Linked DNA regions of Elephas maximus indicus. The protein of the gene in region 2 interacts with the protein of the main gene of each other region in a pairwise test. Links are inferred from orthologs where the notes say so. Each region holds a gene or a part of one and is shown on either strand. Other genes may lie near its edges.

Region 1 (7,828 bases), on a different chromosome or scaffold from region 2:
AAATGTGGGTTGTTTAAGCCACGAGGTTGGTGGCAATTTGTTACCATGGCAAGAGGAAACTCATTCAGAAGGTGACCACAGGGGCTGTCAGAGCTGGTACAGTACAGCGTGGGGCCTAACAGGCTGAGCTGCAACTGCTTCAGCGCTGGGGATCCAGGGACGAGGCAGGAGCAGCAAGGGGAGGGAAGGGGCTGTGAGGACTCTGTGCTCTGACACGTGGCAGGCTCGTGTCCAGGGCTGCCCTTTCCCCAGCCAAGCTGGCCTTGGCCTTTTTGCCTTGTTTGCCCAATGCCCACCTCCAACCCTGCCTCCTGGCCTGTGTGACCCTGACACTGGACCTGGCGCCTCTCAGAGACCACAGTATTGGATTTCCCAGCCTCTGTCCATGAGGAATTCACGTAGAAATGCATGGGTGTGCACATGGGACTGGGGGAACAATTTAGTGCTCGGGGACACACTTATGTCCAAAGACATCTGTCTCCAAGGTTGTGAGGAGAATAGAACCACATGTGGAAGGTACAGGGGAGGGCAATAAACATGTACAGTTTTTGAGCTCCTATTAAGCACCTCCCAGCTTTACCAACATCATTTCCCAGAATCTTCCCAGCGCCCCAGCCTTAGAAATAACGAATGCTCACAGGGCACCTCCCACCTGCTAGGCCCTATTCTAGAAAGTTAACATGCGTTAGCCCATTTAATCCTCACAATGACACTATGAGGTGGGTCCTCTCATCCCCATTTTCCCCATTTTATGGGTTGAGGAAACTGAGTCACAGAGAGACGATGTCACTTGCTGAGGGTCATGGAACCAGAGTGGTGCAGTTGGGATCTGAACCTGGCAGGCTCTGACCTGTACTGTAGAAGCAGCTGAGGCTCAAGCAGATTAAGGACCTTCCCGAATCTGTGGCTAGGAGTAAGCGGTGTGGCCGCAGGATCAGAACCTGCGTCGCCTGATGCAAACCTTGGGGGCCTTTTCCGTCACACCAGCTGTACCCTGACTGGGAAGTGGGTGAGGAGGGCCTCCTCGAGGGCAGCGGGAATGGCTGGACTCGACAGAATTTGCAAACCGTGAATATGAGCAAACCTGAGGTGAGGGTCTGAGTGGTGACCCCCAGCAGGCTCTGCCCTGGAGTGTGGGTTGGGGACCCCCATAGAACTGAGAGACCAGGGTGTGTGAGGCCTGGAAGTGGTGCTGCGGAAGCTGGGGCTCTAGCTAGCAGTGTAATTCTAAGCAAATCTTTTGCTTCTTTGGGCCCGTCCTGCCCCTGCCAGGGCAGCTGGTTGGCTTCAGGGACCTACAGCCACTCCTTGGCATTGAGTCTTGATTCTCAGGGTCCTGCACTGGTGTCCAATTTCCCTCCCTTGCTCCTGTCCACCCCAGCTGTGCTGGAGCCTCTCCCTGATCCAGGGCTCCACTCACCAGGAGCTGTTGCCAGGTGCACCAGGGCCCCCAGAGAATCCCCTCCCCATTAAAGAGCCAGGGATGATGCAACCTGCCTGCAACAGCCGCCTCACTCCCTGAGCCTGGCCCCTCCGCACCGAAAAAGAGTCCCCAGCAACCCTACTGTGCTCCTAGCCCTGAGCTCAGGGCCTGAAGGGGCTGGGGGCCTGGCCCTGAAGGCCTCTTTGAGGCTGGGGGAGGTGGGGATATCTGAGTCCTGGAGGGGCCAGGGGCCCAGGTCTAGGGTGGGCCCAGGAAAAGGTTCAGGGTGCCAGGGGCCCAGTCTAACTACAAGACAAACCCAAACTGAGGGCTCAGGGTATGGAGTTGTAGGCAGCCACAGATGACCCGCAGTGTGTAAACTAAAACATGCCAGAAGGGTTGGGAGCTAAGCGTGTGAATTGGCACCCACTCGGCACTAGGGCTGAATCGGGCGGAATCCAACAACTCTACCAGACAAGGACATAAGGCCCAGAGAGAGAAAACGGCATGGGAGGCTGGGATGTCGGCCACCATGGTCCCTGCCCCAATTCCTTCCCAGTCAGCAGGTGCCCCACAAACTAGTAACAGGATTCCCATTACCAGTTATTTAAAAAATACCCTACCTGGGGGCCCTCTCAAAAACCCATGTTGTTGTGTGCCACAGAATTGATTCTGACTCATAGCAACCCTACAGGACAGAGTAGAACTGTCCCATAGGGTTTCCTAGGCTGTAATCTTTACAGGAGTAGATTGCTGGGTCTTTCCTCCAACAGAATGGCTGGTGGGTTGGAACTGCCAATCTTTTCGTTAGCAGCTGAGCACTCAACCATTGTGCTACCAGGGGTCTTTCAAAAATCCATAGTCCCAGTCTAACCACAAGACAAACCCAAAGTGAAGTGCATTCCAGAAAACAGCCAACCAGCCCTCTTCAAATCTGACCAGATCATCAAAGCCAAGGAATGTCTGAGCAGTGGCTACAGCCCAGAGGCAGCCACGTGTGATGTGGTGCCTTGGAGGGGATCCTGGGACAGAACAAGGCCATGCAGGGACAAGGAATGAAATCAGGTAAGTGTGGCGTTTAGTTTGTTGTAATGTGTCAATGCTGGTTCCAGCACTGTGACAACTGTACCTTCCTCTTGTAAGTTGTTAACAGCGGGGAAAACTGAATGTAGGGTACACAGAAACGCTACACTTTCTCTGTAACTTTTCGGTAAATCTAAACTTTTACTAAAATAGTTTATTTACCTAGTTTCCATATATATAACCCAGAGGGCCTTCTCAGAAGAAGACTGTAGGTGGGGGATAGAGTGAGAAAATAGACCTCAACAGGGAAGGTGCCAAAGGGCTGGGCCAGGGCTCAATCTTGCCAGCAGCAGGTTTTCAGCTGGAGTTGGGGCTTCCCTTTTCTGGTAGTCTGGACAGGGCCTCCCCAGGCTAACAGCCTGCCCGACAGTCAACCCTAATCCCTGCCACCTGCTACTGTTCAAATATCTACACTGAGACATGGAGGGGAGTCCATCCTTAAGCCTCACACCAAAGCTCTAAGGCCATTATGGTCTGAAAGGATCCACTGCTGGCAATGGAAACAGAACATATGCATCTCAGTATTAACAGCAAGAACAGTAATAGTAACAACCCTGAGCAGCAGCCACTATGTGCCAAGCACTACTATAAAGGACAGGCAGAGATTAATTCATTTAATCCTCATTGCCCTAAGAGGCACATGCTATTATTGGCCACGTTCCACCGCAAGGGAAGTCAAGGCATGGGGAAATTAGGGCCACACGGCTAGTCTGGGTTTGAACCCAGACAATCTGGCTCCAGGGTCTGAGCTCTTAAAGTGCTGCCCTATACTGCCTAAGTAATAGCGTAGCCCCTATGAATCCCAGGAACTACAGGGCTAGTGCTCAAATCTGGCTCTAACGGAAGGTGGTCAGATCTCAAGATAGGCTAGCCCAGCTAGCCTCAAAACCCACCTTCCCCGGGTTTTGATTGTTTTGTAGCTGCCCCAAAAGGGATGAGACTGAACTCCATGTGGATGAACGACGAGTGGAAAAGAGAGGGACCTTCTGCAGCACAGCAAAGAGCCATCTCCACCTGGGCCAGCTGGGGGTGATGCGCCCTCTCTTTTAATGAACGGAAGGGTAAAAACCAAAGGAAACCCGATGTCGTCAAGTGGATTCGGACTTATAGTGACCCCGGCTGGAAGACAGTTCCCTGATGCTGAGTGGCAGCTGAGACAAAAAACTGTAAAACCATCGGGAGAAGGGCAGGGGCAGGAGAAAGAACTAGCTGACGAGGGCTGAAGAAGGTGGGCAGGGGCTGTTGAAAAGAGAAAAAGCTGGAGAGGGGGCCATGAGGCCTGAATCCCTCCACCTGGAAGTGGCTGAGCATCTACCACTTGGGAAGGGGAGGGAGGGGATGGCTGGAAATGAACACCAGGGAGGACTGAGACACACAAAAATGACCTCTTAACAGGTGTTGGGTGGTCCAGTGCCTGGGGTTCTGCCAGAAGGGGTGAGACTGGGCACCAGAGTTCCTTTTAATAACAAGGCACCGTTTACCAGGCAAGTATGAGCCCGGTTCTGTGCTTAGGGTTTCGAAGACATCACCTTATTTAACTCTGACAAACAACCCTACCACATGGACACATGAGGCACTGAAAACTTCAGTTATTTGCCCAAGGCCACCCTGGCCGCTCTGTGACTTGAACGAAGGCCATCTGACTCTGACTCAAGCAAGATCTCAAACCTACAAGGCTTTTCAGGCCCGGGCAGCAGCTGAGGGATGAATGGACGGAGAGATTTGGGTGTGGTTGGCAGGAAATTCTTTCATGAAGGGGGGAAGGGAACAGAGAAATGACCACGTGCGAGTCTGAGGGAGGAGAGGCCGGGGTCGGGCTCCAGAGTCAGACAGGAGAGGGCCCGATCCCCAGAAACACGAGCGAGTCTGATCACCAGATCACAGAGAGGAGGAGACTAGACCCCCGGTTCTGAGGGAGGGAGGGGTCTTACCCCCGGGTCAGAAGCAGGAGGGCGCCGGACGCCCGGGTGAGAGGGAGGAGGGGATCCGATCCTCAGATGAGATGGAAGAGGGGGTCCGAACCCCGGGTGAAAGGGAGGAGGGCTCCGGGCCCGCCTCCCGGTTAGGGCCGCACAGGGGCGGAGCGCGGAAGGATCCGGACGGACTGTGCTGCGCCACCTGCGGTATATCTGTCCCCAGTCCCCGGGGCCGCCTCATTCCCCGTCCTCAGATCACGGTTTCCTCACACTAGCGCGACGCCGCCACCGCCCGCGTAGCCCTGGCCATGGCCCTGTAGCCGCGACCCCTCCGTGCCCCCCGGCCCGTCTCCGCGCTCACCGCACCTGCGCTATCCGCTCTTGCCTTCTTTCTTCAGCCGAGGCCTCCGCTGCCTCCCCTTTCTGCCGCCATGGAGTGAGTAACCGCTCGCCCCTCCCTCTCCAACCGCCTTTCCCGCCCTTTCGCTGCGCGCGGCCCTCAAGGCCTGACCGGGGGTTGGGTAGGGAGAAGTGATTGGGGAATCTTGGTTGCGCAGGCGCAGAAGCGGGGGGGCGCCTGTCGGCGCCCATCGGAGCATGCGCACTCGGTCCGAGGTGGGGGGGCAGGGTTCTTCCTGATTGTTTACGCTAAGGGAACGCGTGCGGTTACTGCCGCGCACTAGCTCCCACAGAGTTCCCTCCCCCTCCCCCGGAAACGAGTCTAGCCGTACGCTGTTGGTCATGCGCACCAGCCCACCAGAGCCCGTAATTGTGCGGAAAGGTCGGGGCGTACGCCGCCGCATATGCGCACTGACCCCCAAGAGGGCGGGGAGGGGGGGAATGCATGAGAACACAATTTACACCACCTGGATGACAGATCATGCGCTTTAGCCCTCGGGGAGACGGCGACTTGTGGAAGGGTGGGGGTGGAAGACATTTTCCACAACCTTTCCCCCGCCCTCCTTTCTCCACACTGCGGTGGCGCACAGCGTAGCTTCACTCGCTTTCAGCAGGCATCTGCTGGGGCGGGGCCTAGTTTAGATTGACAGGGAAGAAGGCGGGGCTTAGGGCGAGGAACACAGGTTTCGTGAGGGGCGGGCCAACACGTTGTGGGAAAGGGCGGGGCCAGGCGAGGAGGGGTTTCGTCTGGAGAAAGGCGGGGCCTATAGGGACTCAGGAGGAGTGGAGCTTGGAGGGCACGGGGGCAGGCGGGGAGTGGGGGTTCACTACTAAATTTAAGCGAAGAGTGGAGTCTAAGCACATAGCATTGATGAAGGAACAAAACATGGGGGAATTCCCCTGGGAACTGATTTGAGATGGAATCTAGGGATGGGGCGGAGCCTAAAGGAAACATTTTTGGGGAAGGGGCGTGGCTAGAAGAAAATTCCCCTGGGATTCAGGTTTTTTAATGAAGAAGAGTGTCAAGGGGTGGATGGGAGAGGCCTAAGGAGAATTCCCTTGGGAGTGTGGGGGGCTCAGGGTTTAGAATTCCGAGAGGGGGGAACCTGTTAGCAATGGGGGTATGGCTTCCCGGTGCCTTTGGCTGGTGGCGGTCTGGCTGCTGACTCTGCTCCCTTTGTCTCCAACGTGTAGGTCCTCCGGTTTCGCCTTGGTGCCTGCCTTAGTCCATCTGAGCAACCTCCCAGCTGTTGGTGCTGCCTCCTTCGTTGCCATCCGTGCCCAGCGCCTCTTTTGCAGCCATGTCACTCCTGGCGACCCTGGGGCTGGAGCTGGACAGGACCCTGCTCCCAGCTAGCGGGCTGGGCTGGCTCGTAGACTATGGGAAACTCCCCCTGGCCCCTGCCCCCCTGGGCCCCTATGAGGTCCTTGGGGGAGCCCTGGAGGGCGGGCTTCCAGGGGGGGGAGAGCCCCTGGCAGGTAAGGGCAGGTGGAGAATGGAGGTGGATGAGCTGGGGGGAAGTGGGGGAGAGGGAGAAGGAAGAATTAATTTATTCATTGATTCTGTAAATACAATGCGTCAGGCACTGTTTTAGCTGCTGAGGATAGAGCCAGGAACAAGACTGACATGATTCCTGCCTTCCCAGAACTCACATTCTTGTGGGGAGACAGACAACAGTCAAGTAAAACGAAGATGTATTGGGACTAAGTAGGAAGCACTTAGTGACTGAGCTAGAAAATATCAAAGGGGACCTAGTTTTAGAGTGGGTAGCCAGGATACCTTGTCCAAGAAGGTAACATTAAGCTGTGGCCTGAAGAATGGGAAGGAACGAGCTATCAAAAGGCCCAAGGGAAGAGCATTTCAGGTGAAGGAACAGCATATGCAGAGACCCTGAGACAGGAATTGTTTTAGTCATTACTATATCCCAAATGCTTGACACATTGTAGGTTTTCAGTAATTAATGAATTAAAGTTGAAGCACGGTGTGTGTGTATGTGTGTGTGATGTCATCTAGTTGGTGTTTTAAGGACAAACTAGAGAGTAGATTAGAGGAACCGTAGAAAAAAGTAAAGAGGATGTTGGATTGGTTGAAGAAAAGGTTGGTTGATGGATGGTTGGGTGACTGGTTGGCAGATTGGTTCTTTTGTTGGCTGACTGGTTTTTTGGCTGTTTGACTGGTTGATTGATTAGTTGGCTGACTGACTGATTCATTGGTTGGTTGACTGGTTTGTGGGATGGTTGTCTGGCTGGTCTACAGGTGGTTTGGTTGACTGGTTGACTGCTTCACTGATTGGTTGATGGCTTGGTTTACTGGCTCATTGATTGATTTACTGGTTGGTTGGTTGATTGGTCAAATTGTTGGCTGATTGTTCATTGGTTGCTTGACTGACTTGTTGGCTTGTTGACTGGTTTGATGATTTGTTGATTGGTTGGTTGTTTTACTGAATGAATGGGATGAATGAGTACCCAATTGGATGGAGGACCAGGAACTCAGATGGAACTTTATGTCCCTTCTCCAATTCCCTAGGAGACGGCTTCTCTGACTGGATGACTGAGCGGGTTGACTTCACAGCCCTCCTTCCTCTGGAGCCTCCCTTTCCCCCTGGTGCCCTTCCCCCACCTTCCCCGCCCCCACCTGATCTGGAAGCCATGGCCTCCCTCCTCAAGAAGGAGCTGGAGCAGATGGAAGACTTCTTTCTTGATGCCCCACTCCTCCCACCACCCTCCCCTCCTCCGCCACCCCCACAAGTTCCTCCTCTCCCCCTCCCCACCTTAGACCTCCCCCAGCCCCCTGCCCTGGATACCCTCGACTTGCTGGCCATCTACTGCCGCAGCGAGACTGGGCAGGGGGATGCTGTGGGGTTGGCACCCCTGCCCCCACCACAGCAGCCCCATCCTCCCCCACCTCAGCCCTCTCGCCCAGCCCCGTACCCCAACCCTGCCACCACCCGAGGGGACCGCAAGCAGAAGAAGAGAGACCAAAACAAGTCAGCAGCTCTGAGGTACC
Region 2 (7,330 bases):
CCCTCTACAGGCTCTTTGTTTCACTCAGAACAACTATCCAAGTCCTCACACTGCTCACAAGACCCTATTGTCATCTGCACCCCTCCCCATCTCCCACTCCTCTCTCACTCACTCTGCTCTGGCCATACTGGCCTCCTTGCTGTTTCTGGAACATACCGGGCATACATGTTCCCTTTGTCATCTGCTGTACCATCTGCCTGGAATGTTCTTCCCCCAGATATCCACATGGCCCACTCCCTCATTTCTTTCAGGTTTTAACTTAAAAGTTGCATTCCTCCTATAGTCTTTTCTGGCCACCCTGTCTACATTTTTAATGCTCCTGCTCCCCCAACCCCGCATTTGCTATGTCCTTTTATTTTTCTGCTTACCATGAATAATTAACACACTATATACTTTACTTACATATTCTGTTTATCGTTCGTCCCTCCCACCACCACCACCACCACCACAACAGAAGCTCCTGGAGGGTAAGGGTTTTTTCCTTCTGCCATATCACCAGAATGGTGCCTGGTTCATAGAAGGTGTTCAACAAATCTTTTTTGAATGAATCAATGGATGACTGGAACAAGAAAAAAAACTCAGCACAAGTCACATGATAAATGGCCATTCTGGTACGGTACGGGGGTCAGTGGGAGACGTGGGGGGCTGGGCACACTGGACAGTAGATGCTCCAGTCAAAGCCAGGAGGGGCTGCTCGCTCAGCCTGTGGCTGTCCTAAGTGTTGCCCTCTATTCCCCTTGTTTCCCAGAGAAAATATTTCTTAAAATATAACATCTCCATTACTTCAGTTAAAACAAACAAGCTCTGCACAAGCCACACACAATGTTCCATGGGCTGGATCTGACCTGTGGGGAGTATTTTGCAATCTCTAGCTCGTAAGTCGCTTATGAAAAGAAACCTCAGGTACTGGCTTCTAAACCTGCCAACTCTCTCCTCATAAAATTAGAACACACAACCTATATATTTACATGTTTACTTTTTCTCCCTTTTTCTGGTTGGATTCTGAATAAGTGAGGCTTTCCTGTTCTCTTATTCTGTCTGAGACTCCTGGTCCACAGCTAAAGGTGAGGTAAGTATCTGGGCCTCAGGTGTAGTAGATGGGTAACCTTCTTGAGCAAAACACCTGGCAAAAGAGAAATCCTCTTTGGGCTCTTAGCTGGGAAGCAAGGATCTCTCACTCTAGGGATGAAAAAGCCCTGGCATCGTTTCAGCACAGTGGCTAAATAAGTGAGCTCTGGAGTTGGGTTGATGCCCAGCTCTCCCATTTGCCAGCTGTGTGTTCTTGAGCCAGTGACTCAAGTTCTCTGTGTCCCAGGCTGCTCATCTGCAAAATAGGGATAGTAACAGCACCTACTTCACAGAGTGGTTGCGAGGATTAATATGGCAAAAGCACCCACAATAGCACTAAACCAAAAACCAAATCCACTGCCGCCGAGTCGATTCCAACTCATGCCAACCACGTGTGTTACAGAGTAGAACTGAACTACACAGGGTTTTCCTGGCTATAATCTTTACTGAAGCAGACTGCCAGGCCTTTCTTCTGTGGCACCAATGGATGGGTTCCAACCATCAACCTTTCCGTTAGTAGTCACATGCAAACCGTTTGTGCCATCCAGGGACCTACAATAGCACTAGGCCCATAACAATGCTCAGAAAAGGGAGCGGTGACCATTAATAGTTCATATGTATCAGGTGCTGTCCTTGCCCTGGGCTTCGGAGCAGAGACCCAAAGCCTCCCTGTTAAGAGCTGCCAGTCTAAAGTGGATGACTATGATGAGCCTGAACACGGAGAAATCCTGTAATTGTCACTAAGACATTAAGTTTTACTCACATGAAAAGATGCTCAACATTATTAGTCATTAAAAAAAAAAGTGTAAATCAAAACCACAATGAGATACCATTTCACACCCACTAGGATAACTATAATAAAAAAGACAGACAATAACAAATGTCACTGATGCTGGGAATATAAAATGGTACATCCCCTTTGGAAAACAGTCTGGCAGTTCCTCAAACAATGGAACTTAGAGTTAACATAAGACCCAGCAATTAAACTCTTAGGAAATTATCTAAGAGAAATAAAAACATATAGCCAGCCAAAAACTTGCACATGAATATTCATTAACAGCATTATGCATAACAGTCACAAAGTAGAAACAACCCCAGTGTCCATCAACTGATAAATGGATAAACACAATGTGGTATATCCATAGAGTAGAGTAAAAACCCAAACCCAGTGTAGAGTAGTACTGGGCAAAAAAAGGAATGAAGTAATGAAAAAAAAAGACACCAAATTTTTTGCCTGGGACTTCCCAGCACCCACCAGGGTTAGGGGAGCTGGTTTTTATGGGATGGAAACGATGGCTACACTGGGAGTGGTGGGAGTTGGTGGTCCTGGTCACCTGAAGTCCAGGAGGCAGCCCATGATGGAAGAAGTGGGACTGTAGGAACTCAGAGAGTAACTGGGGCATAGGGAGCAAGAGGCAGAAAGGGAGCATCCCGAAAAGCTTAGACAGTGGGGTCTGGAGTGGTGTGCCCCAACTATGGTACAACTCCCCATGGTAGTACACCAGAGAATTTCAAGTAGTAACAGTAATAAGTTACACTTGCTTAGTGCTTTCTCTGAGCCAGACATTGAGAACTTTACCACATTTACTTATTTAAGCCTCACAAAAACTCTATGAGGTATAGGTGCTATTTTACCCTCATATTACAGATGAGAAAAGAGAGACATGAACAGATTAGGTATCTCATCAAAAGCCATAGTTAGTAAATGGCTCTGTCTGAGTTTGGGCTGCCCCAACATAGACCCTGATACAAGGACTCCAGTGAAGTAGTTTACTTGGGAGGTAATTCCAGAAAGCACTGGAAGGGGAGTGAAGATATGAGACAGGAAGGGAAGGAAAGCCAGTAGAGAGTGCGTCATTAAGTAAGTTACCATGTGGGCAACTGGAGCTCAATCCTGCTGCGGAACTCTGGGAGACAATGAAGAACACATGTCTTGGAGTGCATTATTTAAAAAAAAAAAAATATATATATATATATATATATAATTTAGACTACCCATACCCATTGCTGTAGAGTCAATTCCAACTCATAGCAACCCTACGGGACAGAGTAGAACTGCCCCATAGGGTTTCCAAGACAGTTAATCCTTAGGGAAGCAGGCTGCCACATCTTTCTCCCACAGAGCAGTCAATGGATTTGAACTGCCAACCTTTTGGTTATCAGCTGAGCACTTAACCACTGTGCCACCAGAGCCACTTATAATTCAGGTTAAAGGGGAAAAAGTGACATGATCGCAACAACAGATACAGGAAAAGCATTTGATAAAACTCAACATCTGTGGATAAGAAAAACTCTTCACTAAGTACGGAGAGAAGGGAACTTCTTTAATATAAGACATCTACTAAAATCCTAAGGCAAATATCTTAGTGATGATACATGGAAAGTAAACCAGGCAAAGATCCGAACATGACAGGCCAGTGAACAGAACTTTCAGGACATTGGCAAAGGCTGGGAAAGACCAAGAGGTGCTGGTTCCTCCCTGACCAACCTGGCCAGTCCTTTCCTGGGACTAGCAAGGCTATCATCTTCCCATCCCACCCCTTTCTAGGCTTGTACATTTTTATGAATCGTTCCATCTTTCTTTAGAGTTCTCAGATTTTAAACCCTGGTGCCATCTTGGATTTCTCCCTTCTCTGGTTCCCTGTATCTAATCAGTTTCCTGGCCCCAAAAAATGACTCCCTGAAACTTACTTAGATCCCATCTTTCCTATTCCTCCATATGGCTCTTAGCAAATGTCTCAAAATTTGCCATCAAAGTAAACCCTTTACAACAGGGAAGGGGGAATGAATCTCTCTGAGAAATTCGGTAGCATAATCTAAAATTACCCTCTGCAAACCTGAAATTTATTTGAAGTCTAATATTCTGCCTTAGAAACTTATACAGGTTTCAGGCTCTTATCCATAATATAGCCACCATTATTTTAATGTAAAAATAATGGTTTAAATAACTTACAGCTAAAGGGAAACTGAATTCCACAAACCATGTTTATTGTATACACTGGCAGAAGGAATTTTAGGGGTTTTCAAACCCTAGTTTGAAAGGCCAGCCTACATTACTATTGCAAAAGCCTCCCAGAGAGCCGCCCAGTCTTCACCCTTTTTCCAGATCAATCTAGATCAATGGCCCAGAGCCATCAGATTAATCTCTCTCAGACACTCCTTTCATCTCCAGTCCAAGGACCTGCTTATCGGGTCAAATTTAAAAGTCAACCAGCTTGGCTTTCAAAGTTCTCCATCAAGAGGCCCCAGACAGCCTATTCAATTTTATCTCAGTTCCAGCAGTCCAGCCTACCTCAGGGTCTTATCACCCACCACTGGCATCCTGCTCCTTTCTCTAAATCCAGCCTCTTCCCTCAAGGCCTAGCTCATGACCCACCTCTTCCATGAAACTTCCAGCATTATAGGATTAAAGGGTCCAGGAAACTTAGAGCCAGGAGGATCAGTGAAACCCAGAGAGGGGAGATCAAACTAAAGCTGTTACCCTTGAGTCAATTCTGACTCATAGTGACCCTCCAGGGCAAAGCAGAACTGCCTCATAGGGTTTTCAAGAAGCAGCTGGTGGATTCGAACTGCCAACCTTTTGGTTAGCAGCCGAGGTCTTAACCACTGCCCCATCAGGAAGAAGGGAGGTAGCTGAACCTAAAATACATGGCCAGTTAGTGGTTGTTTTAAACCATTCTCATTGTTTCCCGTGAATAAAGCCAGTTTTCCCCAAAAGACTGAAAACTCCTGGGGGTAGGTACCACATCCTTCATTTCCAGGTTTGGTTAACCTGCTCAAGGACAATTTAGTATACTGCATAAAGATATGTGCCTTAGTTCCTGCCTGCCTACTCAGGCAATCCCCACTTAGAAGGTTTTTCACCATCTTTTGTCAGCCATTCACACTTGTGAAATCAATTTAAGATCCAATTCCTCCACTTTCAGGTTATTTAATTTTTCATTTTCAAATTGTCATTAGTGTTGTTACAACACTGGACAAAAAAATACATTTTCAGCAGCCCAGACAGATGACTCATCCCATTTTTTTTACATTCCTTCCAGAAGAGCTGGGTCATCCATTCTCTCCTTCAATCAGTTATTCCACAGATCTTCACTGAGACCCTATCAGATGCAAGATACACCTCAGGCCAGGAACAATACAAAGACCTAAATAAGATCATCCTTTTCTTTTAAAGAGAATACAATCTCCTTGAGGTTATAAGATGGGCTTTGCTTTCCTTCTCAATAATTTACCTATAGTTAATTCTTTGCCTCAAGTATGTGGGTTTTTGGGTTTTGACTCATCATGTGGCCAGATATTTCTCTGAAATCGGGAATTGAATCTTCTAGTTTTCTAGTATCTATAGGGAGGCTATGTTCCAGTTAGTACCTGTTGACCTGGTATAATTATTAACAGTATATCCTTTCACCCTCAAAAGTGTCCCAGTTTGGAATAACAAGTATTGGTGAGGATGTAGAGAAATTTGAACCTTCAGACATTGCTAGTGGGAATGTAAAATGGTGCAGCCACTTTGGAATACAGTTTGGCAGTTACTCAAAATGTTAATACAGCCCAAGAGACAGAAAGGGCCACATAAGCCTGAGACTACATTAGCCTGAGACCAGAAGAACTAGATGGTGCCCGGCTACAACCGATGACTGCCCCGACAGGGAACACAACAGAGAACCCCTGAGGGAGCAGGAGAGCAGTGGGATGCACAGACCTCAAATTCTTGTAAAAAGACCAGACTTAATGGTCTGACTGAGACTAAAGGGACCCTGGAGGTCATGGTCCCCAGACCTTCTGTTAGCCCAAGACAGGAACCATTCCCAAAGCCAACTCTTCAGACAGGGATTGGACTGGACTATGGGATAGAAAATGATACTGGTGAAGAGTGAGCTTCTTGGATCAAGTAGACACGAGATTATGTGGGCAGCTCCTGTCTGGAGGAGAGATGAGAGAGCAGAGGGGGTCAGAAGCTGGCCAAATGGACATGAAAAGAGAGAGTGGACAGAAGGAGTGTGTTGTCTCATTAGGGTGAGAGCAACTAGGTGTATACTGCAAGGTGTATATAAATTTTTGTATGACTGACTTGATTTGTAAACCTTCACTTAAAGCACGATAAAAAAATTTTTTTTAATGTTAAATACAGTTACCCTATAATCTAGCAATCTCAATCCTAGGTATATATCCAAGTGAAATGAAAACAAATTCATAGAAAAATGTATACATAAATGCTCATAGCGGCATTATTTATAATAGCCAAAAAGTAGAAACAATCCAAACATCCATCAACAGATGAATGATGAACAAATTGTGGTGTACTCATACCCATGGGATATCATTCTGCCATACAAATAAATGAAGTATTAATACCTGCTACCCAAAACCTCATTGCCATCGACTCATAGCGACCCTATATGACAGAGTAGAACTGCCCCACAGGATTTCCAAGGAGCAGCTGGTGGATTTGAACTGCCGACCTTTTGGTTAACAGCCGAATTCTTGGTTAAGAGCTCAACTGCTAACCAAAAGTCTGGCATTTCTAATCCACCAGCCGCTATGGTGCAGTTCTACTCTGTCCTATGCGATCACTATGAGTCGGATTCAACTCAATAGCAACAGGACCTATGCTGTAACGTGCATTAACCTTGAAAACATTATGCTAAGTGAAAGAATCCAGGCAAAAAGGCCACATATTGTATGATTATATTAAATGTCCAGAATAAGCAAATCTATACAGACAGAATGGAGGGAAAGTAGATTAGCGGTTGCCTTAGGAAGGAGCCCTGGTGGTGCAATGCTTAATTACTTGGCTACTGACCAAAAGGTCTCCTGTTTGAACTTGCCAGCCACTTCACAGGGAGGTCTGCTTCCATAAAGATTTCAACCTAGGAAACCCTATGGGGCAGTTCGACTCTGTCCTATAGGGTCACTATGAGTCATAATTGACTCCACAGTACACAACAACAGGCCTGGAAGGGGAATGGCAGGATAAGTGGTAACGGAGAGTGACTGCTAATAGGTAGTGGGTTTCTTAGATGGTGGTGATAGCTGTACAACTCTGTAAACATACTAAAAACTGTTGAATTATGCACTTTATTATTTTTTTTATTGTGCTTTAGGTGAAAGTTTACTGCTTAAATTAATTTCTCATTCAAAAACTTATACACATATTGTTTCGTGACACTGGTTGCAATCCCCACAACACAACAGCACCTTCCCCCTTTCCACCCTCAGTTCCCTGTGTCCATTTGTCCAGTTCCTGTCCCTTCCTGCC

What was found. The genes of interacting proteins can lie anywhere in the genome.
Region 1: the proteins of CCND3 (region 2) and ATF5 interact in a two-hybrid assay, tested with the Homo sapiens proteins (2 studies listed by BioGRID and IntAct). The link is inferred for Elephas maximus indicus from reciprocal best matches to the Homo sapiens genes CCND3 and ATF5.

The regions. Positions count from the first base shown.
Region 1 is NC_064829.1:100,369,441-100,377,268, forward strand, and holds the start of ATF5 (cyclic AMP-dependent transcription factor ATF-5), read left to right. Parts: upstream 1-4,768; 5' UTR 4,769-4,858; exon of another isoform or gene 4,859-4,877; intron 4,878-6,015; 5' UTR 6,016-6,122; coding exon 6,123-6,300; intron 6,301-7,348; coding exon 7,349-7,828.
Region 2 is NC_064819.1:106,379,219-106,386,548, forward strand, and holds the start of CCND3 (G1/S-specific cyclin-D3), read right to left. Parts: upstream 3,027-7,330; 5' UTR 1-3,026. UniProt on the Homo sapiens protein: Regulatory component of the cyclin D3-CDK4 (DC) complex that phosphorylates and inhibits members of the retinoblastoma (RB) protein family including RB1 and regulates the cell-cycle during G(1)/S transition.